Linked DNA regions of Notamacropus eugenii. The protein of the gene in region 3 binds, or shares a complex with, the protein of the main gene of each other region. Links are inferred from orthologs where the notes say so. Each region holds a gene or a part of one and is shown on either strand. Other genes may lie near its edges.

Evidence for each region.
Region 1: SNRNP200 (region 3) and LSM7 share a complex: the UniProt entries of both Homo sapiens proteins name them as parts of the U4/U6-U5 tri-snRNP complex. The link is inferred for Notamacropus eugenii from reciprocal best matches to the Homo sapiens genes SNRNP200 and LSM7.
Region 2: SNRNP200 (region 3) and PLRG1 share a complex: the UniProt entries of both Homo sapiens proteins name them as parts of the minor spliceosome. The link is inferred for Notamacropus eugenii from reciprocal best matches to the Homo sapiens genes SNRNP200 and PLRG1.
Region 4: SNRNP200 (region 3) and EFTUD2 share a complex: the UniProt entries of both Homo sapiens proteins name them as parts of the minor spliceosome. The link is inferred for Notamacropus eugenii from reciprocal best matches to the Homo sapiens genes SNRNP200 and EFTUD2.

The regions. Positions count from the first base shown.
Region 1 is NC_092875.1:63,775,928-63,783,768, forward strand, and holds the start of LSM7 (U6 snRNA-associated Sm-like protein LSm7), read left to right. Parts: upstream 1-4,831; 5' UTR 4,832-5,079; coding exon 5,080-5,085; intron 5,086-5,202; coding exon 5,203-5,293; intron 5,294-7,841. Other genes in the region: SPPL2B (signal peptide peptidase-like 2B), read right to left, coding at 4,606-4,653. UniProt on the Homo sapiens protein: Plays a role in pre-mRNA splicing as component of the U4/U6-U5 tri-snRNP complex that is involved in spliceosome assembly, and as component of the precatalytic spliceosome (spliceosome B complex).
Region 2 is NC_092877.1:153,068,660-153,076,119, reverse strand, and holds the start of PLRG1 (pleiotropic regulator 1), read left to right. Parts: upstream 1-4,446; 5' UTR 4,447-4,604; coding exon 4,605-4,613; intron 4,614-7,460. UniProt on the Homo sapiens protein: Involved in pre-mRNA splicing as component of the spliceosome. Component of the PRP19-CDC5L complex that forms an integral part of the spliceosome and is required for activating pre-mRNA splicing.
Region 3 is NC_092872.1:606,974,480-606,981,642, reverse strand, and holds the start of SNRNP200 (U5 small nuclear ribonucleoprotein 200 kDa helicase), read left to right. Parts: upstream 1-4,159; 5' UTR 4,160-5,197; coding exon 5,198-5,242; intron 5,243-5,868; coding exon 5,869-6,032; intron 6,033-7,163. UniProt on the Homo sapiens protein: Catalyzes the ATP-dependent unwinding of U4/U6 RNA duplices, an essential step in the assembly of a catalytically active spliceosome. Plays a role in pre-mRNA splicing as a core component of precatalytic, catalytic and postcatalytic spliceosomal complexes.
Region 4 is NC_092873.1:349,016,346-349,023,885, forward strand, and holds the start of EFTUD2 (116 kDa U5 small nuclear ribonucleoprotein component), read left to right. Parts: upstream 1-4,529; 5' UTR 4,530-4,789; intron 4,790-6,795; 5' UTR 6,796-6,799; coding exon 6,800-6,904; intron 6,905-7,540. Other genes in the region: DNAAF19 (dynein axonemal assembly factor 19), read right to left, coding at 571-1,020, 2,242-2,386, 2,575-2,717. UniProt on the Homo sapiens protein: Required for pre-mRNA splicing as component of the spliceosome, including pre-catalytic, catalytic and post-catalytic spliceosomal complexes. Component of the U5 snRNP and the U4/U6-U5 tri-snRNP complex, a building block of the spliceosome.

The DNA.
Region 1 (7,841 bases), on a different chromosome or scaffold from region 3:
CCTCCTCAAATTTTCTTCACAATAAGCTAGAAGCCTTCCTTAGGTTCTCTTCATATTGTGTGGATACAAATGAAGAACACAGACTGTCCATTGTTATTTTACCAAATGCTTTATTTTGTATTCTAATTGACATCTTGTTTTTATATCACCTTCATTTTCAAATATATTCCTCCACTACCAACAGGGCCATCTCTTGTAACAAAAAGTAGAGGAAAAAAGACAGTTCAATAGAAACACACCACTGAATCTGATCTTATATTTAACATTCCATACCTATGGTCCTCAATCTCTGCAAAGATGGGGGAGCGAGAGATGGAATTTTTCACTTCTTTAGGACAAGCTTGGTCATTGTTAATACACAGCATTCAATGGTAGAATGCTTCCTTGTCACAAAAACAGCTGGGCAAAAAGAATCAACATAAAGACCATGTATGATAGCACTCTACAACAGTAGTCCACTACATCTCTACAGAAGTCCTCTAGTCAAGGCTGGTCATTATATTAATCTTGGTCCTCAGATTTAGTATTGCTTTCCTTTATATCAATTTTGTTACATATACTGTTTTTATTTTCGGCTTACTATGCTCTGCATCAATTGATACAGGTCTTTCTTAGAATCACAGGTCTTCCCAAGATTCTGAATTCTTTGTTATTACTTTTGTCACCTCTACAACAAAGTGTTATGAATACTTTACTAATATGTGTGACCTTTTTTCTTTCCCCTGGAGGAACCTCCTTTATAGGATAAATGCCCAACTGTGGGATGATTGTTGCCCAGAGGTCAACAAAGGGTTTGACTGTTTTTCACACAGTTCCAAATCTGTTTTCTTGATGAGAGGGACTAATTCGCAGATTCACCAGAGGTACTGTATTAATAATGTATTTGTTTTTCCATAACCCCTTCAGTTACTATTACCATTTTAAAAATGAAATTTGCCAATTTGGTGGGTGAAACCTTATAGCTGTTTTAATTTGCATTTTTTTTTCATATTAAGGATTGAGAGCCACTGTAGGTAGTGGATAAAGAGCTGGGTCTCAGAATTACAAACACCCTTAAGTCCTCCCTTTGTCACACACAGCAGGCAATGAAAGCTTGGCCAAGTCAGTTAGCTTCTTGGTCCTCTAGGTCACTCTCTAAGACTCTTTAAGTCAAACAGAAGTTGTTTGCTTACTTGCATGGCACAGGGTTTCATCCGGGATGTCTCTGGTCCAACCCCCAATTTAGTAATTTAGAGTAGTGCTTCTTTAATTGTGAAAAAATTGGCAACCGTAAAAGATTTCTGAACACATAAGAATCAAAAATAAATTAAAAGATCAAAAATGTAATGACTCCAAGGTGTTTCTGGCTTTGCTTGCCCATGGGTGCATGGTACAACTTCATTGCAGCCTTGGTTCTGAACACGACATACGAACTTTGTACTTCACATGCCTTCAAGCCCACGAAGAGCCAAGAACATTTCGAAAAGTGGTCTGCAGCGGAAAAAGTTTAAGAAGCCCTGATTTAGAGTACCTTATAGTACTTGCATTTCTTTTAAAAAACTGTTTATACCTTTTTACCACTTTATTAGGGAATGGTTTTTGATCACATATATCTTAAAGGTCAGACTTTTATCAGAGATAGTATAAAGATTTTCCCCCAATTGAGTGTCTACAAATAGCTTCATTTTTTACACTGATTTTGCTTGTGCAAAGTTTTTTTAATTTTATGACTCAAAGTGACTATTTTTATCTTTCAAGATCGCCACTATTTCTTGGTTATGTGTTAAGAGTCTTTTCTAACTACAGATTTGAAAGGTATCTCCCCTTTCATTCTCCTCTTTTTAGGTTTTTTTTTCTTAAACAATTTGGAGCTTATTGTGGCATGTAGTATAAGAGGTTGATCTAAATTTAATTTCTGCTGAATTGCTTTCCAATGTTCCCAGCAGGTCTTGTTAAATGTGAGCTCTTTCCTAAAGTGGTTTGTATTTTGGTTAACTGGGCTGTGTTCAACTGCTTCTTGGTCTTAGTTTAATTAAACTATCTAACTAAACTACCAAATGGCTTGTAAGTCTATTGCACTTTACAACGTGGTCTGAGATCTGATTTTCAGTGATGATGTCCTTCACACCACTTCTCTTGCATAACTTGTGATGAATTACACAGTCTCCATCGCTCCTTGCACGATTTCTGACCTCAGTTCTTCAGAGGCTACACACTACTGCATGACTAGCAACATTTTTCATCACTGCAAGAATACTGACATTAAAAACAAAATAGGCCTTCATCCTGGGGGGAGATTGTTAAAAAAAATAACAAAATAAAACAACCTGCACAATCACCCAAAGGCAATGCTGCCTGCTCTATTCCTCCAGTTCAGTTCTTAGCCAGACTCATCTATCTGCAACATCTTATCTCAGATCTGTGTACTCCTTAGAGGTATGCTGGATCCAGATCAAACCTATGCATGAGTTGACGGTTACATTTTCAATATAAGCATTTTTACAGCTCACAAATCAGAAGAGGTTATAAAATCATAATTTGATTTCTTTGTTGATTGTCTAGATTTAAGAAAGTAATGAAAATACTGATAACTAATATTAAACTCAAGTGTGTGTCATGGGTACATTTTTTCTGGAGAGCCAGTTGTTAAACATTTATCAGTACAGCACTATTCATATAGATAAATGAGCTCTAAAGATTGCCCATCCAACTGCAAGTCTATCAGTCTGAAAGATGATCAGAATCATTACTCAGAGACATTTAGTAGCTTTCCCATGGTAGATAATTCAACTAGTAAACCATCAGTCAGGATTGAAACCATGTCTACCAACTCAAAGTCTAGTATTCTCTGCACTAAACCACACTGTCTCAGTAAAAGAAAAAAAGATTTAATGGAATATTGTAGATAAACACAAAATACACATGAGGCTAAAGGTGCAACTTTGCCAAGGTCTTCTGACTTTGGAAAAGTGTGATGTGAGATGATTTACCCATAACCTTTTAGTGAATTTTAGAGAAGAGTATTTCTCACCCTGGTAAAGCAAATCACCAGTACAAAGGCACTCAGTGACCACCACAGTTCCAGAGGGAATTCAAGTCTAGATTACTAGCAGAATCTGGAAGTTGAAACAATAGTTCAGTGAGCAGTGATTCCCAGCCACGGTTTTGTGAAACCATGTCATTCAGGTGTCACCAAAATGTCCACAGGATTATCGATTCATAGGCCATTTAGTTCAATGCCCTCACACTGACAGTTTAAAAAAAGAAAACAACAACAAAAAAAACTGAGGCCAAGAGAAGTGAAATGACTTGCCCAAGGTTCAAACCCCACTATAAATTACATCCTGTTTCTACTGCATATGGTAAATTCTTTCCTCCAAACAAGAGTGAATTTTAACTCACTTTAATTTAGAAGAATGAACCACAAAGGACAGTCAATAACTGGGTGCCAGGCAATCACTGTATAAATCCCCAAAGGACTTATGAGTGGGAAGAGAACATGTCGTTTAACCCCTTAATTTTGCCAGGGGAAAAAAATGGAAGTTTTCCATTCCATAACCATAAAAAGTTAACCTTTCTATAAAACAGGTATATTTGTATGATATCCCTCACAGAGCAAATTAGATAACAAAGTACTTTATAAACTGCATAAATCATAAAACCTTTAAGTATAAATAAGCGTATTATTAACATGTGGGTATTACTGATTCAGGGAGCTTCAGCCTAGCAGGGCTCTGGGGTGGGATTATGAGCTTTTGGAAAGAGGTCTAAACGTAGGGACAACATTACTGGACTTGGAGGACAGGAGACTTACCTTCACATGCTGGCCCTGACGTACTGTGTGCCTTTAAGGGAGTCATTTACGTGAGTCAGTGTCTCGCTTCAGATCGCTCTGGGATGCAGCAGGGACTTATTTAATAGATGCTTACTGACGGTGCCTGACCCTAAGTCTGCTTTTCACTTGTAAAAGGGGAAGGACAGAAGTGTGACCCCTGACCAGGATACTACAGTGTGCAAGGTGTAAAGTTCAAATACCACACGATAAACACGGCGCAGTGAGGAGGATAACACAGCACTTCAACGGAGAGGCCCAAAGTGCTGAGAGGTCCAGGGGTGAATTTGGGAGGGACGAGTTTGTTAGTTTTATGTAAAATTAATTTGGGTTTAGCTGAGGGACACAGAGTGTCCCACAAGTCTTACTGGGCTAAGTGTGCTTCACGTTTATAAGAAGCGATGAGTTTAAAAAGATGGGTAGGGACTCAAGGAACGACCAAGAGGGAGGAAGGAGCAAGGCATGCTGGGAAGCGGACCTGTTGGCCGGCGCTGACTCAGTTTCCTCATCTGTGAGAAAAAAGTGAGTAAAAGACACCAGCCGGAAAGAGGGGCTCGGAGGACCCGCCGCTCCTAAAGCTTATGGGAGGTCTGGGGCTCAAGTTCCTCCAGGGTAAGACGAGGCGGCCTCGCGGGGCAAAGGAGGATGGGGTTCGCCGGCCTAACCTGGGGGAGTTAGAGACGTGGGGCATACCGGGCCGCGGTGCAGCGAGGCCGGGCTAGGGCCTACTAGGCGGCCCGGGCCGCTGAGGGGAGCCGGAGGAAGAAGGAGCCAGGCCTCCCCCTCCCCCTCACCTGCGCTATGAGGAGAAGTCCCGGCAGCAGCCGCACCAGTACCGCCATGTTCGCCCGAGATCCCCAGGGCCCCACGGCTCCGGCCTCCCTTCCCCGCAGCCTCAGCTGCCGGACGTTACCCAGCAAGCCCTGGGCCCCGCTTCTTAGCCCCCTCGTGCCTCAGCGCCGCTCCGCGGCCGCGTGCGCCTGCGCACGCGCGTCACACTTCCGCAGGGCCCGGGTGCAGGGTGAAAGGCCGGGGCGCGACTCACGAGGCGGATTGTGACGAAAGCAAGATGGCGGCGAGCCGACGACGCTGCCGCGGCCGCCGCCACAGCGCTGCCAGGCGTTACCCAGCAACCTCCGGGCTCCGCCTCCAACCCTAGGCTCCTGCCCCATCTGCGCAAGCGCGTCCCTGACGTTAACGCCGAAGCTTGCGCCAAGAGGTGAAAGGGCGCAGGCGCCGGACGCAAAGGGGACCCTGACGGCTGCAACATGGCGGTGAGCCGAGGGGGGGATACGCTGCAGCCGCTGCCGCCGCTGGGGCGGGAGGGGGACGGACTGACGGACCCGGCGCTCGGAGGCCCGGGCCCCTGATCCGCTGTGCTTTCTCTGCAGGACAAGGAGAAGAAGAAGAAGGAGAGCATCTTGGACCTCTCCAAGTACATCGACAAGACCATCCGCGTGAAGTTCCAGGGAGGCCGAGAGGGTAAGAAGGACCCCGCCCCCCCGTCGTTCCCGTCACATGGTCTGACCCAGGGTCTCCGTCCTCCCCTCACACCCCCCCCCCCCCGCCTGCCTCGGCAGGTGGTACATTCCGGTGGGACCTCCCTGGCTTCTGGAGCGCTCTCCATTCATTTCTCTCCGGGGCTCTGGTAGGTCCGCGCCTTCTGGGTCCCTGCCCCCAGGGAGCGTGCTCATCGTCTGGGCGGGCCAAGAGCCTGGAAGGCAGAGTCAATCCAGGGCACAGGTGCCAACTGTGTACCGGGTAGAGAGGCCGCCCTCGGCCTAGGAGTCAGGAAGGCCTGCTAGACACTTGCAGACAGGTCACTACCTTTCGGTGCTCGTCAGCTTTCTGAGACTAGGAGTTGTTGATCTGCATTCTGGAAGTCAGTCGGACAACGAGCACTTATTAAGCACCTACGGTATGCTGTGCGCTAGGTCGTGCGGTAGGTAGGTAGAGCAGTGGACCCCGAAGTCTGGAAGATGGGACTCCGAGCGCAGATACTTAGCAGCAGGGCCACTGAGCAAATCCGCCTTTTCTGCTGTAAAACGGAGATTCAGGGAGATACTTGTGCTGTACAGATACTGTCATCGGTAAGTCAGGCCCTGAGCTGACAAAAGCAAAGAAGCCTCTGCTCTCAGGTGTCTCACCGTCCAGTGGGGGAGATAATGTGAAAAGAACCGGGCAGACAGACTTTGTCCAGGATACACTGGAGATTTTCAGTAGAGGGAAGGCATTAACATAAGGGGAGATCAGGAAAGGCCTCCTGGAAAATGAGATTTTTGCTGACATTCCGTCCTGGTGTTGGTGAGATCACAGATCCACACTCTATCTGGGAGAGTGCCAGCTCAGTGACCCAGAGAGAATCCTAATTTCCAGCCTTGATACAGACTGGCTTTTTGACCATGCAGGAGTAAATCACTTAACTTCTGTACCCCAGGTCACTTTCCAAGTTGGGTGACTAGTAGTTTGGTGAAGCCTACAGATTCCTCAGAATAATATTTTATTTTATTTTTTTATTAAATTATTTTGTTTTCAGTGTTCTACAATCACTTCCATATAGCTTAGATTTTTTTTCCCCTTCCTCTGGCTCTTTCCCTCTTCCTTCCTGCTCCTTCCCCCCTCCCTCCCCACTTCTCCCTGAGACAGCAGACACTCTTATATAGGTTCTACACATACATTCCTATTAAATACATTTTCACCTTAGTCATGTTGCATAGGAGAATTAAAATGAATGGGAGAAACCATAAAACAAAACATAATACAAAAGAAAATGGTCTGCTTCAATCAGAATCATATTTTTAAATGCACAAAATTAAACAACATGGGATTATAAAGGGAACCAATTCCATTGAAACAAATTATCAAAGAATTTCTTTTTTTAAAGTTCACAGACCATAGGTGAAGAACCTCTTCTGTAAGTTATTATAGGTGAGTTGTTGTCAGTTAATAGCAAGGGAGGCAGTTTCCATGTGGAAAAGAATGTGCAAAGTCAGTGTTGTGCCCCAGGAATAGAAATATAAAAAAATAGCATGATACTCAACAAACATTGATGAGGCACCTGCTGTGTGCGTGCGTGCGTGCTTGTGTGTGTGTACACCTTTGCACAAATTTACACAGACTCTCTCTTTATGGAGCTCCCCCCCACATAGAGGGAAGAGACATAAGTGTAAGTCATGACAGTCATGGAGCATACCTTGACTACCTGCTGCTCGACCTGCAATATTTAGATAAGACACATAATCATAATAGGTAATTGTCATTCAATAAACATTAACAAACAATTAATAATAAATAATTTAATTTAAAAAATAAATAATAATAAACAATAAACACACAGTAGGTATGTTTAGTAGTCTCTGTAGTTCTGTAGCAGTGGCAGGGCAGGGTTTGCAGTTTGTAATGCAAGCATAAATAATGTCCAATATCTTGTAATAGATAGTCCTTCAATAAACCTTGATTTAAGGGTGTCCTGTAATCTTCCCTGATACTCCAGCACTATGTGTGGATCCCTGTCTTTCGGGGTGCTGGGGTAGATAATGTGTCTGAGTTAAGATTGGGTCCTTTTCCCCTAAGGAATACTCAGTAGGATCCTAGATAGAGACCTCCTGGAAAGAACCTAGGAGGTCATCTCTCTTCATTTCACTGATGAAGAGATCAGAGACCCAGAGAGAGTCTATGACTCAAAGTTACTCAGGTTGTTAGTAGCAAAATTGGAGCTGGACTCTGGTCTTCTGGCTCCAGACCCCACGTCCCTCCCACCACACCAAGGCTTGAAAATATAAACAGTAAAACAAATCCCTAAGTCTATGAGCAAGATAAAAGAGGGTGTTGGCTTCATGGATGTGAAGCTGGCCTCGGAACTGGGATGACCTAGGCTCAATACCAGCCTCTGTGACCAGGGCAAATCGTTTAACTTCTCAGTGCCCCTAACCTGCATCAGGAGTTCCCTAGAACAATGAAATTACAAGTCAGGTATAAAACAAAGCATGTCCTGTTAGACTGTGTTTTGGAATGCGTGTTTTTGAGAGTT
Region 2 (7,460 bases), on a different chromosome or scaffold from region 3:
ACAAGAAGGGACAGCTACTATATTAACTAATGTATATTAAGATCATGTTTATATTTTTATCCACAGGATTACAGGATCGTAGATTTAGAAGTGAAAGTCACCTCAGAGATCATCTTGTCTAAGCCAGGGTTAGATACAAGTACAGGATTTGAACTCAGAGCATCTGCCTTAATTTCATATTCTTTCTGCTGTTCCATGTTGCTTCTAGTTAAATGTTCCCTGCACTGATACAGTACTTTAGGCTGTTTTCCTCACAATCCTGTGAGTTCAGTGGTGCAAGCATTAATATTCTTGTTTACTGATGATGAAGCTGAGCCTCAGATGGGTGGGCACTTGCACACAATCACACAGCTAGCAAATTTCTAACTAGTATCACAACCTGGATTGGAGAATTCCAGGCATGGGGGAGAGTCAGTGAAAATACCTGGCGTTTAGAGATGGAATGTTTTGGTAAAGGAACAAACAACAAGGAAGCCAGTGCACTGGACTATACATTGTATGGAGGGGAGCAGGATATAAGAAGACTGGAAAGGTATTAGGAAGTGAGTTTATGAAATGTTTCAAGCCAAAAAATTTGTGTCATAGGCCCAGTTTGATACCCACTAAATGTGTGACTTTGGCCATGAGTTTCCTTCTATGTTGAAAAAAAAGTGGGTAGGTGGGTGAGGCAGAATTGGACATCAAGGAACAATAGTTGGATGAGGGCAGATCCATACTGAGCACCAAGAAGGTAAAGTCCTGGATCCCTAAGGAGATGAAGATAGTAGCTCAAACTCCATCTTCTACCAGAGGTCTTTTCTAGCCTCCACCCTCCAACGTAAGTACTTCCCCTTAGAGACTACCTTCCCTACACTGTCAATCAGTACTGTGTATAAAGTTCTATGCACGTTGTCTCCATCAGAATGGAGACTTCTTGAAGGCAGAAATTGCCATTTTTTACTCCCAGGACATGGCACAATTCCTGGCATGTAGGAAAGGCTTAATGAATGATTATTGAGCCACAGAGGGATCTATGAGTGTGTTGGAGCATAGCTGAATCTTGAAGAATGTGGCAGTCCCTCAGAATGATAAGGTCAAAATGTCTTTGGTTTCTGTTTATTCAAGGGGCACAGGTTTTCTTGCTGATTTTCCATTTCCATCTCTACCCCACTTCTTGCTGCCTGCATTGGGTCACTCTTATCGATTTTCCTCCTTCCTTTCTCTTTCCCTCCTTTCTCTTACGGTTTATAAACAGAAAAAGGAGCTATGAGGATCTAAAATTCCCTAGAAGGATACACAAAAACAATACTAAAAAAGTTCCACCCTGTATCTGAAAAATTATTAAAACAAAAGAAATGCACCTCAGTGAATGGAGTATTTGCAGACACAGAAGAAGCAGATGGTCATTATGCCACTTATAGATTCTCCATGATGTCTTGTTCCTACTTATTGCCTTTCCATCAAGATAGCTAAGAAGGCAGGAAAAGACAGAAGGCCTTAGGAGAGAGCAGCATACAGGTGTGCAAATGAGATAGAAACAAAGGGGGGAAAGGGAATGAATCAAGGGAACATATGACTACAAGATAGTTATTCAACCAAATGCCTCTGCTAAATCAAATCTCAATATTTCAAAGATCTATGATTTTATCTGCATATTCCTACTATCAATGTAGTTTGCAAACTATTAAAAAAAGCAGAAAACAACCGAACAAAAAAGCATCATCCAGTGGACAAACATATGATCAATTTCTCTCAACGTGACCAGGTTGGTTCTAAGTTGACAAACGTAGTTCACCTCTGATCTGCAGTAGAAGCTTTATTAGTCTGGTATCTGTCAGTGCTTGTGCTCCACTGGCATGGATTCTGAGAAACTCGCAAAAACTCCATGCCGGAGGCAAAGCAGGCATCCTATAGGTAAATGGAAAGGAAAGGGGTCTATGGAAAAGTGGCTGGGAGATGGAAGTGGGGATGGGGTTTTTGGAAACACTAACAGGTATCAAGGAAAATGTATTATAGCAGAATTCAGAGGAATTGAACACCTTTGGCCAAATTAGGGCCAACCTCCCCCCCTCCCCCCCTTCCCACCTTAGGAAGAAAGAATACTGAATACAGAAGCGAGATGAGCTATATACTGTTAGTTCAAGACAGATTCTCACACCAGGAGCTGGATTGGTCCGTTTTCCATTAGGTCACCACCTTCTCTACATGCCCATTATGTAACCACCCTTTGTGTGATCACCACTCCCAAACATGTTTTAACGTAAGACCCATGACCAGAAAATGGAGGGATAATTCTATGCCAGGTGCGTCTGCTTAGATACATTGTGGCCAAGGGCCTGCGGTCCCCACGTGGCTTGGTGACAGTGGTGAAGAAGAAAGACACATGGGCAGGTGGGAGTAGACAGGGCAACTCCGTTTATTGATCTGAGGGTCAGATATATAGAGAGAAACTGCATGTCTATGTGCTCATCTCCAGTCCTAGTGATTTGGCCAGTCTTATTGTCTTTAAAGACCGTTAGTCTAGAAGGCATCTATTTTATATATCCCTTGTATTCTGTAGTTCTCTTGTCTCACAGAGACATCAATATCTGGCTGGCATGGAGAGCCATTCCAGTCTCAAAGAACAGTTTCCCCAAGGCCCATCCTGAACTAGTCAACTGCACTCCATCCTGGCCCTCAACAATACATGAGATTCATTAAGCAAGCACAGTGAAGAAAAGTTTTCTCCAGCTTATTCTAGGTCATTTTCCTTGACTGGTTCTGGCCAGTTTCAGGCCTGGACCTGCTTATCAAAAAATTTATGACTTTTTAAAGACCACCTTTTTGCATGTCCTGACTGGTTGAGTCCACCTGCACTCTGCTGGCTTTCTTATTATCTGATTTATTCTCCATGACTTCATCAACTAGTAACTGTGGAAATTTCACTTTTGGCTGTCTCTCATAGGGTTCTTGCTAACTTGCTGGGTCATAAGATTTACAGATCTACATCTCCATCTGGCAGTCAGTACCTCTCCTATCCTCAAACTTTTTAGTGATCATATATGAGCTCTGAGGCCCTTTCCTCATCTAAATCCATCAACCACTGTTGAACCCCGTTTTTGTCAGAAACTGGGGTCCAGAGAAATGAAACTATGTCAGTGGTCACTTAGTGATAATGTTTAATATAAAATTTTGTAATAATCTCTTTGTTCTCTCTGAAGCAAACTCAGAGAATGTCTCTTCTTATGTCAACAAAAGCCAGCCAGGGCTGACTTAACATTCCTTAAGAGACCTTTAACCTAAGACACTATCTTGAATAACGGGATGGTTTCCATATCTTAGTATTTGTAGACATATACTATGTTATGGCATGTTAACAGTAAAGAAAACACAGACATCTTGGGTCGTAATTTCTACCTGAAACTTTGTCAAACTCTGTTATCTTATTGTATTTACAACCTATGCAATTAAGAAATTCCTTTCTAATGGTCTAGTGAATCACTTATGGAGACCATAAATCTGAAGAAAGCAGAACACTTCTTTGTCCTAAAGCAGATGTAAGGCTGCTTAATTCGGTAGTCAGAACATTTCTGGCTCCATAATGCATTGTGTTACCATTGTCTTTAATAGGGAATTGATCAATGAATAAATTAAATCATAAAATGCTTGCATTTAGCCTGTTGCCTTTACTATAACCAAGTTTTCAGGTCAACATCAGGAAATAAGGAGAAGAGCTGGGGCCTGGATCCGGCTGCCTTGTCCTATCTCCCCTTTAATTTCTCATATAACACAGGGTCCTAACTTTCTCAAGCCTAGGGATTTGCAATCCTGTTAGAAATCATTTAGTCCAATCCCCAAATTTTAAGGAAAAAAAAAGAAACTCAGGCACAGAAGGAGAAAAAGGTCTCTTCCCCTGCGGCACTGGGGGGAACCAGGTATCCCCCTCCTGCAGCTCCAGGCCCGGGGGTCCCCCGCCTGCGGCTCCAGGCCGGGGGTCCTCCACCTGTGGCTCCAGGCCCGGGGGTCCCCGCCTGCGGCTCCGGGGCTACCCCACGACACAGTTCATCTGCCCTGCACAAAGGGCCAGACTGAGACAAACGCCATCTCCTCCCTTCCTTGTCTCAGGCTAAGATGAAGGTCTAGCTATGAAGGAACATGACAGCCATCACACAAGTGGGGAAACCAGGCTAAGTGCCCTGCCCATGCCCACAGGGCAGTAAGTCCTGAGGATCAGACACGTGGAGGTGAAAGGGAGCCAACCCCTCATTTTACAGATTAGGAAACTGAGGCTCGGAGAGAAACAGAATTCGGGGCTAGGATTTCCCGCCCGCAAGCCAAGCGGTCTATCCAGGACACGCTATTGGCTCTACGGAAAAAGCAGAGCTCATCCGGTACAGCCACCACCAAGGTTGCGGCTTCCTCCAACGGTGGGACGGAGACAGTTCTGGAAGCTAAACCCCATCGTCCTTTTCGAGCCCGCGCAGGCGCAACAGCTACCATCCAATGGGCATGCGCCCCCTTGCGTCACATCCGGCGCCGGCGCCTCCGGACTCCGGAAGCAGCCGCGTCGCGGTGGCGGCGGGAGCTCTGTCTGGATTTCGGTTTCTCCTTTCTCCGTTCGCGGGGCGGGCGACGTGGTCGGCGTCATGGTGGAGGTGAGTGACGGGTGCGCGTGAGGGCGAGCCGCCGGCCTCTGGGCGCGCGAGGCTGCGGCCGGCCGTTTGTCCGCCGCCGGGGCTGGCTCGGGCTCTGCGGGAGCGGCGGTTTGATGAAAGCGAGAGGAGGCCGCGACCCGGCCCCGGCCCCGCCCCCCGCGCGAGTGGAGGAGTGGGCGTGCGCGGCCCCGCGAGACCCCCGAGCTCCGGGCCCGAGCCCGCGGGGCTGCTTCTCGGCCGGGCAGCGACCCCAGCAGCGCCTTCCCGGCCTCCCGCCTCCAACCCCCCCCCCCTTCCTCCTCCCGCTCTGCCCCTTGGCCCGCCTGCCGGTGGGCATGGTGAGTGGCGTCCGCCGTGGTGGTGCCACCGAAATGCCATGGCATCGCTGCGTTATGCCTTCAGCGTGAAGCAGTGCAGACCTCCCCCGCCCCGTCCTGTGGGGGCCTTCCTGGCGCCTGCTGCGTGGGCATGAGAGGGGCATTGGGGAGGCGGCTGGGAAGGGGGCTGGAGCCAGGAGAACCCCTATGGAGCAGGGCCGTGGTTGGGACCGCAGTGCAGAGCCCCCCGCCAGATCACCGTTCCTTCTCGATACCCCGTTTTTTGGGCTGCGCCTTAAGCAGCTGCTAGTGAATGTGCGGGTGTGGGGCCGGGCGGGCTTGGAACGGAACCTCGTGAAGTGGCCTGGAGAGTGTGATGGCTTACGTCACATCTGCCAAGTGGGGTCGGTTCTGGCACCGTGTGGTGTCGGGTGAAACTTTCATCGTACACTTCATCGTGTTCATACGCTTTAAACTTACGAGCCGCATCTCACGGAGCTCTCCACACTCTGTGATATTTAGAATTTGTTATTGTAAGCCCCGTTAAAATTGAATTTTTAAAGATTAAATCTCTGTCTACAGTTTCATCAGGTAAAACCTTTCCTCACTGCATGTGATAAATGATAATCTGTAACAGCGCAGTAAATGTAATATGGTTTACAGTATTTAAATGCAAGAGGAAAATTCACAGTTGCAAGTTACTTGTTAGAAATTTGGGGTTCGGTTCTATCAGTAACACTTTTCTGCCATTTCTTGGAGTTGTTCCATTATCAGTCGTTACTTCCGCATGAGCTTTGCAGTTTAAAATGATTGCCTTCTCATTTTGTCTTTGACACTTGTCATTGACTACAAAGTCTGTATTTTTGTAAATACACCTGACAGTTGGGATGCTATTTGTTATTAACTGCCAAGACTGTATTTTCGTAAAGGAACAATAAATTTTCAAGGAATTTGCTATTTCCCCTAAAGTTAGACTGAGACAAAATTTAGACGTTTTACAGTATTTGTGAAGCTAATTTGCAATCAGATGTAAATTCTAAGAAAACTAATTAGCTTCAGAGATTGTAAGCAGAGCTATACCAGTTCAGTTTAAAGGACGTTAAACGCCTGCATTAACCCCATGTGAAGGAAATTGCTTTAACCTAAAGGCTACATCAGTGGTATGGAAAGGAAACAGTGATGTGAACAATTCAGAACACTGTTCAGAGGCTACTCTTAGCAGAACACTGGTGAATATGACATGGATTAGGACTTGGGTCCATTTGTATAAGCAGGCTAATCCAGTGACCAGATGGCTCTGGAGAAGCCAGGCTGGTGACCTACACAGCCCTCCCTCACTCAAAACAAAGTCAGTCATGTCATCATTTCTCTGGTGGCATGGTCTTCTTCGGCCACAAAAGACAAACACAGTCCTGTGAGTAGATGCAGCTGGCTGAATGGGTAACTCAGCTCCTCCTCTCCTCTCTGCCTCCCCCTCCCCTTTCTTCTTTCCAAAGGACTGTAAATTTGGATGGCCAAAAGATGCCCGGTGGTCTTGGGTTTTACTGGTCCCTTTCCTTCCTTTCCTTTGCCTTCCATTCCCTTCCCTTTCTCCTGTTCTGTGCTGACCTATCCTCTCCCAAAACCCTAAACCTACACAAATTGGGAGTGCAATGGGCCCCTGCCTAAGGGCTCCTCTTGACCCTCCTAGCTTTACAGTGATTATCGATAGTAACTGTTACTGGTTCCCACCCAGCCTGATGTCTTTGTTTTTCTTGACCTCGTTAAGGGGGCCATGCCTTGTCTTCTTAAATGGCCTGTTCAATGAATGGGCGTTGCCTCACCCTAAGTGGGTACCTGCATAGACCTTGACCTAAAGGGGCCAAGGTCTCCCAGTGCATCCTGAGTCATCTCCAGTCATCCTGATGAATACCTGGTCCCTGGATTCAGATGGCTCTGGAGGAGAAGTGAGGCTGGTGACCCGCCCAGCCCTCCCTCACTCAAAACAAAGTCAAGTGACAGTCATGTTATCATTTCTCTGATGGCATTGTCTTGTTCGGCAACGAAGGACGAACACAATAAGCAGGTTAACTTTGTTCAGTGTAGTTTTCCATTGTTGCTTTTTGCTTTTAGAATATTAGTGCCTCAAATAAAACTTAGCATTTACATAGATGGCTCTTTAATGTTTGCAAAACTTTTTACATTATCACAATAACCCTGTAAGGCAGATGCATGTGTTTATACTCATTTTAGCAGTGAGGAAACTGAGGAAACCCCCAACCTCACCCAGGTATTAAAGAATTTGAGGTAGGATTGGAATTCAGGAATTACTGACTTTCCATTCTAACACTTAGCTTCCTCTCTGATGCTAATTCCTGCTTATTACAGGCAGCTTAGAAAATCCTTTTTCACCCTATTGATGCATTTTTCTCATTTCCTTAGCCTATCTCCAGTTTGGATTTTGGTAGAGAAATAAATATTACACTTTATATGTTCAATTGATAAGACTTTAATCAGACTATATGAAGCTGTATAACTGAAGCAACATTAT
Region 3 (7,163 bases):
GTGTGTGTGTGTGTGTGTGTGTGTGTTTCCCCCTAAATGTTTAATTTGATTTGTAAGTCATTTTAGTTATGATAAATTTGTTTGGCCAGCAAACTCAAGCTATGTGCTGTAGTTATTGAATAAATTACAAAAGAAAGGGAGAGTTCCATTTCTTAAAGATGGGAAATACTTTTTTTGTTAAGTGAAATTGGGGGAGGATGGGGGGAAAGAAAGGGAAGGGAACAGAGAGAGAGAGGGAGAGAGAGAGAGAGGGAGAGGGAGGGAGGGAGAGACACAGAGAAAGAGAGATAGAGAGACAGAGAGAGAGACAGAGTGCACACCATATTGGAGTTCCACAGACTAATAAAGGTACCAGAAATAAAAAACTCAGAAAGTCCATGGATTGGAAAAGAATAGCTGTTTTTAGTCTGAGAGGCTTTGAGTGGCTAGTTCCCTTCTTACATCTCAATATCCCCTTCCCCACCCCCAGTTAAAGCCAAAATTTCTAGTTCCAGGGAAGAAAGGTGAGGATATCCAACTCATATCCTCAGGTGGAGTTGTATTTGTGTCAACTCTACCTGACTGTTAGCTCCTGGGTAGGAGGATACCTATCTTCACTCACAAGCTCCACCTTGTGGTGAGATATATTCTCTCTCAAATCTTTAACTTCCTCCTAGTTACTGGCTCTTAACTTAATGAACTCAAACATGCCCAAGTCTCCCTCCATCCTAAAAACCTTCATGGAACACTACTATTTTCTCAAGATACTACCTTCTATCTCTCATCCCTTTCTTGGTCCAGGTCCAGATCCTCTGTATAAAATGCTGCTTCTACTTCTCTCACCCTAAGCGCTCCACATTACCTGTTTCATCTGTCTTCATGGCCATTGGAACAAATTGCTCTCATCCACACATTCCACCAAAGGAAGTCTTCACATGCTTGGGGTAGACACCCCCCTAACTCACCAATGGGTTTGAGAACCCTTGGTTACCCTCAACCTGGTTTGGCTTGTCTGCCAAAATGGTTTACCAGGGTGTGGCCACTGCATGCTGCAACTTAGAGCCACAGGTGAGAGTTGAGTGGAACAGGTTGACACCAAAGGTGGAAAGAGCCCTGGAAAGGGCTCGGCAGCCATCACACCAAAGGCACTGTTCCTGTAGTGTACTTTACAGGGATATTCACATTGACAATGAGGTTGATGTACTCATTGCCAGAGCTAGCTCAGTATTTGGGAGGCTCCAAAGAAAAGTCTGGGAGAGAAGAGGTATTTGACTACCAAACTGAAGGTCTACAGAGCCGCTGTGCTGACCTCATTGTTGTATGCCTATGAAACATGGAGAGTCTACCAGTGCCATGCCAGGAAACTGAATCACTTCCATTTGAACTGTCTTAGGAAGATTCTGAGGATCACCTGACAGGATAAGGTACCAGACACTGAAGTCCTTGCTTGAGCTGAATTGTCAAGCATTCAAACTATGCTTCAGAGAGCGCAATTCCAATGGGCTGGCCACATTGTTCAAATGCAAAATGTATGCTTGCCAAAAAGACTATTTTATGGAGAACTCACATGGGGCAGGTGATCGCATGGTGTTCAGAAGTGATACAAGGACACTCTCAAGTCTCTCTCAAGAACTTTGAATTTGACTGTGCAACATGGGAGACACTAGCACAGGACCACTCAGCATGGTGTGCCTACATCATAAAGGGTGCTGTGCTCCATGAACAAAGCAGAATTGAGACAGCACAAAATAAACATAGAATGAGCAAATTGGAGCATCCACCCTAAATATTCACATGGACTATCTGTGCCCAACCTGTGGTAGAGCATTCCAAGTTCGCATTTTCTTACAATAACTTAGAGGTGTTCCATTATTAGTCTCTTAGATAAAGATTTAATATTGTTTTTATATCTTCTATTAATCACCTACCATGATTATAGAAATTTGTCATAAAAGGAAAAAGAGGGACATAGCCATAGTAAAGGGGAAAATTCTCCCCTAGCTTGATGTAAATTCCAGGCTAGAGTCATATAGGCCGCCAACTGCATTAATAGAATGTCACAGCCAGGCTCAGAATTAGCCTGGTGGGAAATTTTTCAATTCAAGAGGAAATGTCATACATTCAGGAGAGTCCTACCTTAACTCACATCAAAAGTCACTCTCCTGACTTTTCCCTGAGATAGAACTCCACCAGTGGTAAGTCCCAGATGTCACTCCCATAGGGTAGCTGAAATTATGAATCATTGGCTCAATGACATTTTCTGATTATTATACCTGGAATCAGATTCAGACTACCAATTACAGTCCCATAAGATTCAACTTTAATAGAAAATTTCATTAATCATTGCTTCGGGCTGCATTCAGTTATAATCACTCTCATGTTACTGAGAATAAATATTGTAGACTGACCTCTTAATAAAGACTCTAAGACTACAGACTGTTAAAACTAGGTCAATTCAAGATGTAATTTCAATATATACCACTCCAGGTATAATTTCATAATCACAAATCATCTCACAAACTTTGTAAAAGGATGTTAGTAATACATGAGATCTCATTTTCTCAACAACCATATTCCAGAGTTTCATAGCCTTGTTTGTCTTTCAGTTTTTCAAAGAGGACTGATAGCAACAAAGGCAGAGTTGCATAAAGTCATTAACCACACTCTCTTCCAGAGTCATAGAAGTCCAGTGGTAAGACATAAGTCAAGAAGACTGGGAGTGCCTGGGATGGAGTGGATGGCCTTGGAGTCTTTGATGCCTAAGCTCTAAGCACTCCACAATGCCTACTTCAGCTGTCTTCATGGCCATTGGAACAAGTTATTTTCACTTGCCTGTTTCCGTGGGAGAAGTCTTCACATGTTAGACATCCCTCTAATGCACCAATGGATTTGAGACCTGTCAACCTAGTTTAGGCCATGTGCGGAAACAATTTTACTAATATGTGGCTACTGTGCATACTACAGCTTCTTGAAGACACAGACAGGTGAAGGTGGACACTCAAGATGGATAAACAGCCCTGAAAAGGGCTCAGTAAGTCCTTAAATCAGTAGTGCTACTCCCTCCTGAACAACCCATACACCTGGATTGACTAGAAAACAAAAGCCATTTTAATCAGGCTCTCCCTATTTGTTTTCCCCTTTGATGAAAGAAAAAAGCAAGGATAAGAAATCTGTCCCACTTAGAAGAGGTCCAGTCTAAGCTGGCTAATGAGTAGATAACTTAGGGGCCGGGAATGATCATATTACTTGATCATAGCCCTTTAGGAACTGCTTGGTGAGCTTAAACTGAAACAACTGGGGTCTGACCAAATAGGAAATGGGATGGATTTCAGATTAATATGATACAGAATGATATTAATTTTCCTCAATAGTGACACATGTTTTTTAAGGTGATGTGATCATAGACTGAGAGCTGAAAGGGCTCTTAGAGGCTACTTAATCCAGATTTAAATCCTACAACCCCAAGTCTAGGTTTATTCCTTGTTGGCATTCTATAGGCTATGAAACATATCAGCCCTGGAGCTTCCAGTGTGACTCACCAAGGTCTCTCCTATGCTCTGCATTGATCTACTGAAAGTCTTTTGGAAGCTCACACCACCTCTGGAATATTTTTCCCATTGGAATACCCTCCTACCCTTGCAAGTCTACCTCCCTATTTGGCTGTTTCCTCCCAGATCTTCCATTTTAAAGAGGAGGCCCAGGCCCATCAATCTTTATTCCTCTCCAGGATGTGTTCCTGTTCATTTGCACAGGACTTTCTCTACAAAAGCAACACTTCACTCCTCTTTCCCTTCCCCCTTGTCTTTCTCCATTAGACTATAAACTCCTTGAGGAAGGAGCTTTCTGTCTGTTTATATTTGTACTTCAGGGGCTTGGTGTGGTGCCTGAACACTTAATAAATAACTGAGGGAGCAATGTCCAGGATCCCCCGGGAGAGAGCCATAGCATCTCCATGAGGTGTAGTACAGGTCAGAAAGCTAGCTTGCTTCCTCCCTTCCTTCCACGGCCCAAACTCCACGTGAAGGCTCCTGGGTGATCATCCACAGTAACTGTAGCTCTTTCCCTCCCAGCTGGATTCACTTATTTTTTTCTTTTGCTCATTAAAGGGGACATCCCTGCTTACTTCCTAAAGAGGCCTACTCACTCCTCGGGCCTTCCCTCCCCCTAAGTGAGCACCTGCAGAGACCTAGGCCTAAAGGGCCCCAGGCCTCCCAGTGCATCCTGGGCCGTGGCCAGTCATCCTGGATCCAGACGGCCCAGGGGGGAAGCGAGGCTGGTGAGCTGCACAGCCCTCCCGCCCTCAAATCAAAGTCCAGCGCAAGTCACGTCATCATTTCTCCCGTCATGGTCCTCTGAAAACGAAGGACGAACGCAGATAGAGGACAGTGGAGGCAGGCACAGATACAAAAAGGGCGTCTCCCAGCAAAATCGCTCCAGCGTCATCACCTCCCTGACACGTGACACGCCGCGGGCACTCAGGCCTTTGTGGGCTAACGGGGGGCACACATAGCTTACGAGAATAACAGCCAATAGTTACACAGCTATCCACTTTAGAGAGAAGACTGTCGCAGAGAAGCGGTCACTTGCCCTGGGTCCCGCAGTCATTGTTTTAAGAAATCTAATTTTAATTTTGAGAACATTAAGAACCCGAATTTTAAGAATATTAAGAATTCGAACTGAAGTCTTCCTGATTCCCTATCTAACCATTATGTTGTCCCAGTCATGGCAAAATTGACGATATCGGTCTTGTATAAGGAACGACCCGTTTTATTGATACTTTTATATTTGCCTCTAAGGAGGAAGAAGAGAGAGCAACACTTCACATAGTTCAAACTACTCGGACCTGTCCGCGATTGCTGTTGCACATGCGTACTAGCACGCTGTCGGTCCCGGCGCAAACGAGGCGACCGCGCAGGACGTAACTACCGACAGTAACGTCACGCCGGACGCGCGACTCTCGCGTTGAATAAAAGGAAGCCGGCTTTCTGAGACTTGGGGATTTGTGCACATGCGCATTTCCTTTCCCTCCCCTCAATTGAGGAGGTCGAGTAACCTGGAACCGGAAGTGAGGCGTTTTCAGCTCTTTCCTTCCTTCCTTCCATCGTTGCTTCTATCTAACGTTTCTGTGGTGTGTGCGTAGTACTGGAAGAGTAGATAGAAGGAAAGAAGGGCTTTGAGGAGATAGATTCGACCCCGGGGCACTTGAGCAGGCGCAGCCATGGCGGATGTGACTGCCCGGAGCCTGCAGTATGAGTACAAGGCCGTGAGTGTCGGGCCCGACTCGGCGCGGGGCCGGGGGAGGGGGCGGGAGGAGGGAGGAGTAGAAAGTGGACAGAGGGGTTTAGAGGCGACCACATTCCAAGGAGTCGTGAAGGGCAGCCGCTGAAACAGAGTCCGAGCGCGGAGACCACTAGAGCCCCCCGGGAATCCTGAAGAATGCGCCCGAGAGACCGGGCTGGGAATACGTTGTCTCCCGCCGTCAGGCACCCCTGGTTCATAGACTCCGAGTTGTGTACTTGCTGTGGGTGCTGTTTTCAGGAGGCATCCCCGGGAGTGGGGCATCCTCTTATTACAAGAGTTTGGGCCGCATCTACGTGTATTGTTAGGAAGTGCCCGCTCCTAAGCGCACAACTACGCACTTCATTCTCTCTTTAAGAGATGTTTTACTTATTTTAACATTCATTTTAAAAACTATTTTTGAGTAACAAATTCACTTCCTCCCTATCCTCCCCTCGAAAGGGAAGCATTGCAGTACTCATGTGTACGCGTGAAACCAGGCCCTATTGTCAAGAATTATCATCTAAGTAAGGGGAAACATTTGCAGGAATTGAGTTGCCTGCATTCAGTCCTGCTGTCGTTGTAGCTCTGTTCATATTGTGATTATTCCAGAACTCCAACCTTGTCCTCCAAGCTGACCGTTCTCTGATTGACCGAACACGGCGTGATGAGCCGACAGGGGAGGTCCTTTCACTGGTGGGGAAACTGGAGGGCACTCGAATGGGTGATAAGGCACAAAGGACCAAACCCCAGATGCAGGAGGAGAGAAGAGCCAAGTGAGTATATGGAGAATTCTCTCCTCTTCCTTGAAAATGAAAGTATTGAAGTCCATCCGACATCTGGTTTTCACCTATGTTCTGTTGAAATGCTTGAAGCTTGAGCATAGAACTACTTGACTGGAAATCCCTTTAGGATTTTAGAGATCCTTCTAAACTTAAGGTCACATATGGATACTTTCATAAATGTTGTTTTACGAATGAATGCTGGTACTAAAAGATGTATTAGAGATGTCTACCCTCCTTCATTACACAGAATCAGTTGATAAGCTTTTATTGCCTATTGTAGGACAGGCACTGTTCTGCAGGTGCTGTACCTCTAGCTACTGAAGACCCATAAAAGAAAGTTATTGCCACCAAAGTTCTTGTCAAATGACTTAACAGCTGAAACTGTTATAATTTTATTGGTAGAAATAACATTAAAGAGGAAGCATTAGTTAGGTGCTTTGCTCCTGTACCCAAAAGACCGTGGAACCTTTCTATTTGACTTGAAGCTGAAACTTTTTATGTTTTGTTTCTCTTATCAAAATGAGTTCTTTAAGAGCAAGGACTACCTTTTCTATTTGTATCCCCAGGACTTTATGTAGTACTTCGCACATAGTAAAGCCCTTAATAAATACTACTTAAAATTTACTTACTCATTCACTGGGGACTTAAATTTTAAAAAATAAACTCTACTTAAGTATATATATGAGTATATACAGAATAAATATAAAACTAATAAATAGGAAATAGTTAAATAAAAAGTAGCCTGGGAGGGAAGACAGTGATTAGGAGCTCAGGAAAGGCTTCATGTAGAAAGTGGGACTTGAGCTACATCTTGAAGAAAGAGAAAAATTTTGTGAGGTCAGGAAGGGGTGCATTCTAGGGAGGGGAACAGCAGGTACCAAGGTAGAGACATGCAATGTCTCTTGTGTGAGGAACAGAGAAAAGATGAGTTTGACAGGCTCTCAGAATTCAGAAGAGGGAGTAAAGCCTAGTGAGGTTAAAAAGATAGGTTTAGGCCACTTTGTGAAAGGCTTTAAAAGCTAAACAGAAGTCTTTATGTTTGAAGCTAGAGGCAGTGGGTAACTACTGGAGATGGTTGAGTAGGTGAGTTACATGGTCAGATTTGTGCTGAAGGAAAATCAC
Region 4 (7,540 bases), on a different chromosome or scaffold from region 3:
TGTCTATAGTCTGACAATTGTGAACCACCCTTCAAAACCTGGGTAGCTTGACAAATCATTTGCTGGTAATTCTCCATACACTAACTCAGAAAAACTCAATTCTAGGGAAAAAATGGTGTTCCCCCACCCCAAGAAGGTGTCAAAGTCTGTCAATAAACTATCTTTATTGGCCTGGGGTAGATCCTTGTAGATATTAATGGACATAACTAATCACAGATTTTAAAATTCTGCTTGCATGGGTTGATGATAAGCACTAGGGTAAAGGACCTTAATCTTAGGGACAGGAGGCCATTCTTAGCAGGTTTTAAGGATGAGAAGCCAAATGTGTCACAATTTCCCAGTGCTCTCATAAGAGCCTTTGGCTGTTTGAAGTCATATAGATTTAAAGAGACCCATTTAAGGTTAGGATGAGTGAAACCAAACTTTTGCTGCAGTTCTTGAGGGACAAGGTTAAAAGAAAATGTTTGGAGTTAGGCAACAAGATGGCCAACAACATTAAGGACTTTCTAGGAAAAACAAATCTCCAGGAGCTAGTCAGGTTTGCTGTTTGTCCTGAACAAGACAAGATCTCTAGCCAATTTGGTATAGCTCTGACAGCTCCTGGAGGAGTTTCTCATCCTCATCATTCCTACCGTGTGATTTCTCTAGCTCTTGCTCCTTACAGATCAGTTCTTCCTCTGTGGGTCTGGTAACATACATACTTTGGAGTTTCTGAAACAATTTTTGGCAGCTCTCTCTTTCAGCACTGCTCAGCAGGCTCAGGTTGAGGCCAAATCGGCCAGTTCTGGATAGGCTATGAAGGATCTCCAGTACAGCAGCACGGTCAGCTGGCTTAAAATTCTCTGCCAATGTCACCAGCAGTTCACCGAGGAGTCCAAAACCCACATCTACTCGGAAAAGGTGGCCCAAGTTGGGGGCCCCAAGCTGTAACAGGGTCTGATAGCGTTCTGGTCCATTCTGGAGGTAGCGGCGCCAAGCCCTATAGAAATCTGAAGATGTCTCAGGCTGACAATCTCCCTTCTAGGTCAAAGGGAAAAGTAAAAAGAGTTATGTCCTCAAGACACTAAGGAGTCAATACTTGCAAGCTCTATTCCTAGCTTTTCTACTGACTCAGTCTTCATCTCAGGAAAAACATGACCCTTTGTGGGCCTCAACTTCCTCATATAAAATAGGCTTTTTAAAACTTCCCATTGTCAGGCACAAGTGGGATCTTGGGGACTAGGGTGTTAAAATAACAACATGATTTAGCATCATATAATGGAAATTTACAAAATGTGGATACAGCATATTCTAAGATGGGAAGGGAGGTAGGCCACAGGTCTCAGAATCCTAGAGGTAGATCTGATTGGCTGAGAGCTGACAGATCCCATCTCCTCATCCAAACCATAGTGACTGTACATACAATGGGACTGCACTTCATACTTCATGTCCTTAGCAGAATGTTCTCTGGATCAGTGAGCCCATATCGTCCTTCTACTCCCTCAACAGAATTTGGTGCAGTTTCTGCTAGTTACAGCTCTATAAACAGTGGTTGAACTGGGAAAATATGATATAACATAGATAATGTTAATTTGTGGTTTCTCTAAGTCAATATCTAGCCCTGCAGGGATCTATTTCTATTTGAGTTCGGCACTTCCTCTCTATAGAGTACAGAGATCCTGGCCAAGGTCACAGAATCTAAGAGACTGCTCTGATTGGCTGAGATCTGACTAACCTGTCTCTTTATCCAAATTTTGAGATGGTTCTGTACCCTGTACTTGTCACAGCCTGGAGTCTGTGTACCCTAAACCTGAATGAATGGGATTTCTTGAGTGTAAGGGGAATGGAGCTTTTCCCCAAGGTGATGACGTGGTGGGGCTTGCATGCCTCCTCCCCAGAGATGTCCTTTCCTTGAAGTCCTCAGGATGCCTAGGGTACAAATGCCTCCTTGGAATTCTTGAAAGATGGGCCATCCCCTTTAAGTATGACAGCACGTACGAGTAGGACTTTGTACTACGTGTGCTTAGCAGACTGTCCTCTGGGACACTGACCCCCCCCTGCAGTCCCCAGACTCCCAGCACTTAGCTCAGTGCCCAGTACACAGTAGATGCTTAATAAATGTTTATGGAATGATTGGATTGGATTTAGTCTAAAGGCAGTTTCCGCTAGTTACAGCTCTGTAAAAGTTTTGTTAATTAAGAAAAAGAAGCATTACAAGTAAAGGTTAGGGTTCCCCAATGGACTATAGAATGGCTATTTCACCTGGGAGATATAAGTGCTCTCCTCCTGAGTGATGCCTGTCTGAGCAGTGGTACTTGTCACCTGACAGTTCCAAGGCACTGTCTTCTTGATATTCATCTTGTCCTTCCGCTCTAAAGGCTTCAGGTGTGAGGCAAGGACAATGTCCCTGTGGGCAAAGGAGACAGTATTTGAGGGAAGACTCCCCAGGCTGGGTGTGGAGGTATGGAGCTGCTGCCCTAATGGTTCCTGAACCCTGTAACTTCAGCTGCATAAACATGGTGCTATAACTATTTAAGCTAACTGGGCCATGGAATATAGTTAGGACAGCTCTGGGGTAAAGTTGTGTAAGCCAACCTGAACTCTTCATAGGAGGCCACCTTCTGTTCCACAGCCCGGAACTTGGCAGCATTCTCTCTTTGGTATTTCTCATCAGCAGCTAGTGCAGCCTGCAACTCCTTCTCCAGAGCCCTAAAGTCAATGGTATCAGTCTTTTCCATGTCTGGAACCTGGGAGTGAAAAAGAGGGTGAAGTCCAGCAATGAGACATTACCAGGGAAAGAAGCTACTGTATATCATGATAACTCTTTGCCATTCTAAAAAGATTAAAGCACTTTGTCCAAATTATCACTCATCTCAAAGAGAAAGTACAAAAGTTGTCTCCCCATTTTAAAAAAGAAAGGATCTAAGATATGTAGCAATGGTCCAAGATCCCACATAACACCATTGTTTCACTGGGAACAATGGACAACATTTATGTAATTCTTTAAGGTTTGTAATTACACCTACATATCCCACAACAATACTGTGAGGTAGATACTATTATCATCCCCATTTTATGGATGACAAAACTGAGACTCAGAGAAGCAAGTAACTTGTCCAGGGTCACACATGTAGCATATATCTGAAGCAGTATCAAACTCAGACTACCCTGATTCCAAGTCCAGTATTCCATCTACTGCCGAGGACTTCTAAGTTCATATTCCCATCTAGACTTGCTTCTTGACTAAAGACTAAATTGGCACATGTACTGTTAGTCTCTTTATTGAAAAGGTGGTTTAAAAAGCCATTTGAAATTGGGAGGCACCTTAGAATTCAGACTTTAGAGAACTTCCTAAGAACTCGCTTGGAGTGAATGAAGGACATATGGTCACGCAGTCACACAGCAGATGTGACTATAGCTCCTTTTGAGCCTAGGATAAATTTCAAGTCCTGTACATCCAAGACAGATGTAGTGTTGGGGAGGGAGTAGAACCACACAAAGGTTGCTGAATTTTCTAAGGGAGTGGATGACTCTTTCCAGCCTCTTCAATTGTAATAACTGAGCTAGAAGGAGACATAAGAGTATCTGAAAGAATTGGTTAGGATGAATGCTTCTTGACCTTGTGGTCTTGCTCTCTTCTGGAGTCGCTTGTATCACATGGTTCCAACTCAGTGGACACCTGTAGCAGCAGGGGTAGATGTGGACTAGTGAAAAACCAATGCCTAGAGACTCGTGTCTTGCACAAATTAGACATTTCATAAACATTCCCCGAATTGAACTATGACAGAAAAATGGATGAAGGGAAATTTTTTCTTCTACTTGATTTGGATACCTTTGCAGCCAGTCCCTTCTGCCCTTTCCTTCTCAGGTCTCAATGCAAACTGGCTCCCTGCACCTCTGGGAGGATGGAGCTACCCTGAAGGCTCAAAACTGTTGTGGCCATTTGCTCTCCACAAACCCTAACAGATTAAGATCTGTAAAACCCCTCCAAAACCCATGTGGTCCAAGCCCCTCTTTGGAAGGGTGCTTCAGAGCTTATCCTGTCCAAGTCTCCCACTGGAGGAGGACCCTGAGACCCAGAGAACACACAGACACACAGACACACAGACACACAGACACAGACACAGACACACACAGACACACACACACAGACACAGACACACACACACACACAGACACAGACACACACACACACACACACACACACACACACACACACACACACACACACACACACACACACACACACACACACACACACACACGCCCCCACCCTGTAAACAGACCACGCAGAGCCCAGGCATCCTGTGCCCGACCCAATTCCAACTGCCCTGAGAACTAGTAGAGCAGAAGGCGAACCTACCCTAGCTCCTGGTCAGCCGTCGCTACCCTCTAACCCCCTCAACTCAAGAAAAATCCTCATGGTTCTCCTGCCTAACAGGGGGCTCAGGCTACAGCCAAGCGGAAACAGTTGCCTAGCAACAGTCTCACTCAAGCAGCCCACGTGATCGGGCCTCTCCCCGTTCGAGCTGCCCTAGTGATGCCTGATAAAATGAAGGCCGCGCTTGCTCGCTAACGTCGCCTGGGCCGTCACGCTTTCCTGTCCGGCGCGTCGCAGGGTTCCCCCAAACCGCCCCTTCAGCCCGGAATGGCTCTATCCTACTCCGGCACCTCAGGCAGAGTAGCAGGCGGCGGAGGAAAGGGGCGTGGCCTCGACGTCGCGCGGGGTCCTTCCTAGCGAGCGTCGCAGGCGCCGGCCCATCTTCGGACGGAGAGAGCGCGGTATCGGCGTTGGGATTTAGAGCTGCAGGTGAGGAGTCGGCGGCCCCGAAGTCGGGGCGTGAACTCGATCGGATGGGGTCCGAGGCTGGCAGATGTGGAAGGGGTGGACCTTAAAAGAAAACCTCATCTTACAAAGGAGGGCACTGAGGCCTTGGGGCAGGCCCGGCCTCTGCTCGGGTCCCACCAGAAGGGGGGATGAGGGGGCCGGGCCTGGTCGTGGTGGGGAGGGCCGGCGTGTCACTGATGGGCCCGGTCGTGACCGTGGGCAAGTTTCCTAACTTCTGCGTGTCCCTTAGTGGAGTGGAAGCTCCTTGCGAGCAGGGACTTGTTCTTTGTGGTTTTTTCCTTCCTCCTTTTCTATCCCCAGCACATGGCCCTTAGGAGACACTGTGTTTGTTGAGTTCAATGAGCAATAATACACATTTTGTCAGGTGCTTTAAGGTTTATACACCGCTACCTTCCCCTGTACTCCCCCATCACTCAGAAGGCCCAGGTGCTTTATCCTTAGGTGACGGATGAGGTCCTGAGAAGCTAAGTGACGTCATCGCCATCCTCATCATAGCGGACGTTGATAAAGCACGTTAAGATTTGTAAATCACTTTACGTACGTTAGCGCGTTTGTTCTTCACCGCGGTCCTCCGAGGTAGACGCTGATATTATCTCCATTTTACAGATAAGGAGAATGAGGCTGACAGAGGCTGTGACTTACCCAGGGTCATCCACAGCTAGTAAATCTGGTGTGGATTTGAACTCAGATCTTCCCAACTGCACTGGGCCACCCAGCTTGTTTCACTAATAAGCGTCAGAGCAGCGAATCCAAGTCCTGTTAGAAGGGTGCTTGCTGCTGAGTAGGACCTTTAAGTTTCAATAGTTTTAAACTGTAGTAAAGCTTTTGGGATGCCCTCTACACAGTGCTGGGCCCTTAATACTAGAAGATATGTTTTATCATGCATATGTGCACCATATTTACATCCTGGCACACTTTGGAAGAAAACTTCTCAAGTCATCCTAGCTAAAAAAACAAAAACAAAAGAATAGGTCATGGTTTGGTTACCTTAACTAAAAAATAACAAAAATAGGTCATGGTTTGGCGATTTACTATATAAGATACCTTCTGGTAATGAATATTCAATTAATCTAATCCTTGAACTGCGCTTAGTACAAGAAAATTTTCTAGCCTGTCTAGGACCTGCCTGAGCTAATGTAGTTCCGCCAGGATTGACTTGTAACACCAGTGTCACCTTATCACATTGGGGCACTGGAGTAGAAGCTTAGTAAGGGAAACACAGGCATGTTTATGGCTTCGCTGGAAGTTGATTCAACAAATGTTTGTTTTAAATTTTTGTTATTGATATCTTTTTTTTTTTTACATTGCCTACACTTCCTTTGTTATTCACCTAACCATTCCTCCTGTCAAAGAAGAAAAAAAGTCGTTGAGTAAAATTAACCAACTAACCAACACTGACAGTATATACAATTCAAGAAGTATTTATTAAGTACTTTTCATGTGAAAGTCACTTTTCGTTTGCTGGAGAGATACAAAACATAAATGAATCCCTTCTGGTCCTCATGGAGTTTACATGTTTGAATCAAATGAGAACAAATCTTAAAGTATTTTGAAAGTGTAAAAATTCTAGAGAACCAGATTGTACACTTAAACTTCACAGGATTTATATCAAATGGGTTTATCTTAGAAAGCAGTAGATACTTGGTTGGTGTTTCTTGGAGTGGAAAGCTTGGAAGCATCTGTGGGAGAAATAGTACAAGTAGTACAAAAATATACAGGAAGTTTTATTAATTGATCTTTAAGGAACATATAGCATAGGATTTTATTTTGCTCTGCAGCTAGCATAACAGAACTCAGGAGGAGCAAAAAATAAACAGTTCTGGGTACTGTTCATTTTACACTGAAATGGAAGCTAGTTTAAAGGTAGTCAGTCATGGTCAGGAGAGGGAACATATATTCACCCTTCTCTTCTTTGCCTGCCCACAGATTACTTATATTTTTTTGTTTTCTTCCCCATGGATATTTAGCATCATGGACACAGACCTCTATGATGAGTTTGGGAATTATATTGGACCAGAGCTAGATTCTGATGAAGATGATGATGAATTGGGTAGAGAAGCCAAAGATCTTGATGAGGTAAGACTACTTTAAAATAAAGTTTTACCCACCCCCGCTCCCCCTTTTATTTGGAGGATATGAAATTTTGTGTCACTGAGAATAATAGCTGGCATTTACATATACCTTTAAGGTTAGCAAAGCACTTTATCAATATTATCTTATTTTATCCTCACAACGCCTCTGAGAGGTAGGTGCTATTGCCATCTCCATTTTACAGTTGCGGAAACTGAGGTAAGCAAGTCACATGATTTACCCAGAGTCACACAGCTTAGCGTGTGAGGTGCTAGTGTCTTAGTGTTTGAACTCAGGTCTTCCTGACTCCAGGAATAGTGTTTTATTCTCTGTGCCACTTAACTGCCAGAATAGAGAATGTGAAGTACTTTATTTTATTCTTTCCTCTAACCTTTTCAGGATTTTTGATGGAAATTTTTCAGGAGGTGTGATATTTTGAAATTTTATTTATCTTTTTCAGATTTGTTATTTATTTATTTTTAATGTTCCTTCTTTTTCAAATTTTGAGTTCCAAATTCTTTTTCTCCCTCCCATCCCCTCTCCTACCCACTGAGAAGGCAAGTAATATATCAGTTATATATATGAAATCATGCAAAAGATTTCCATACTAGCCATATTAAAAATAAGAGAGAGAAAAATTTT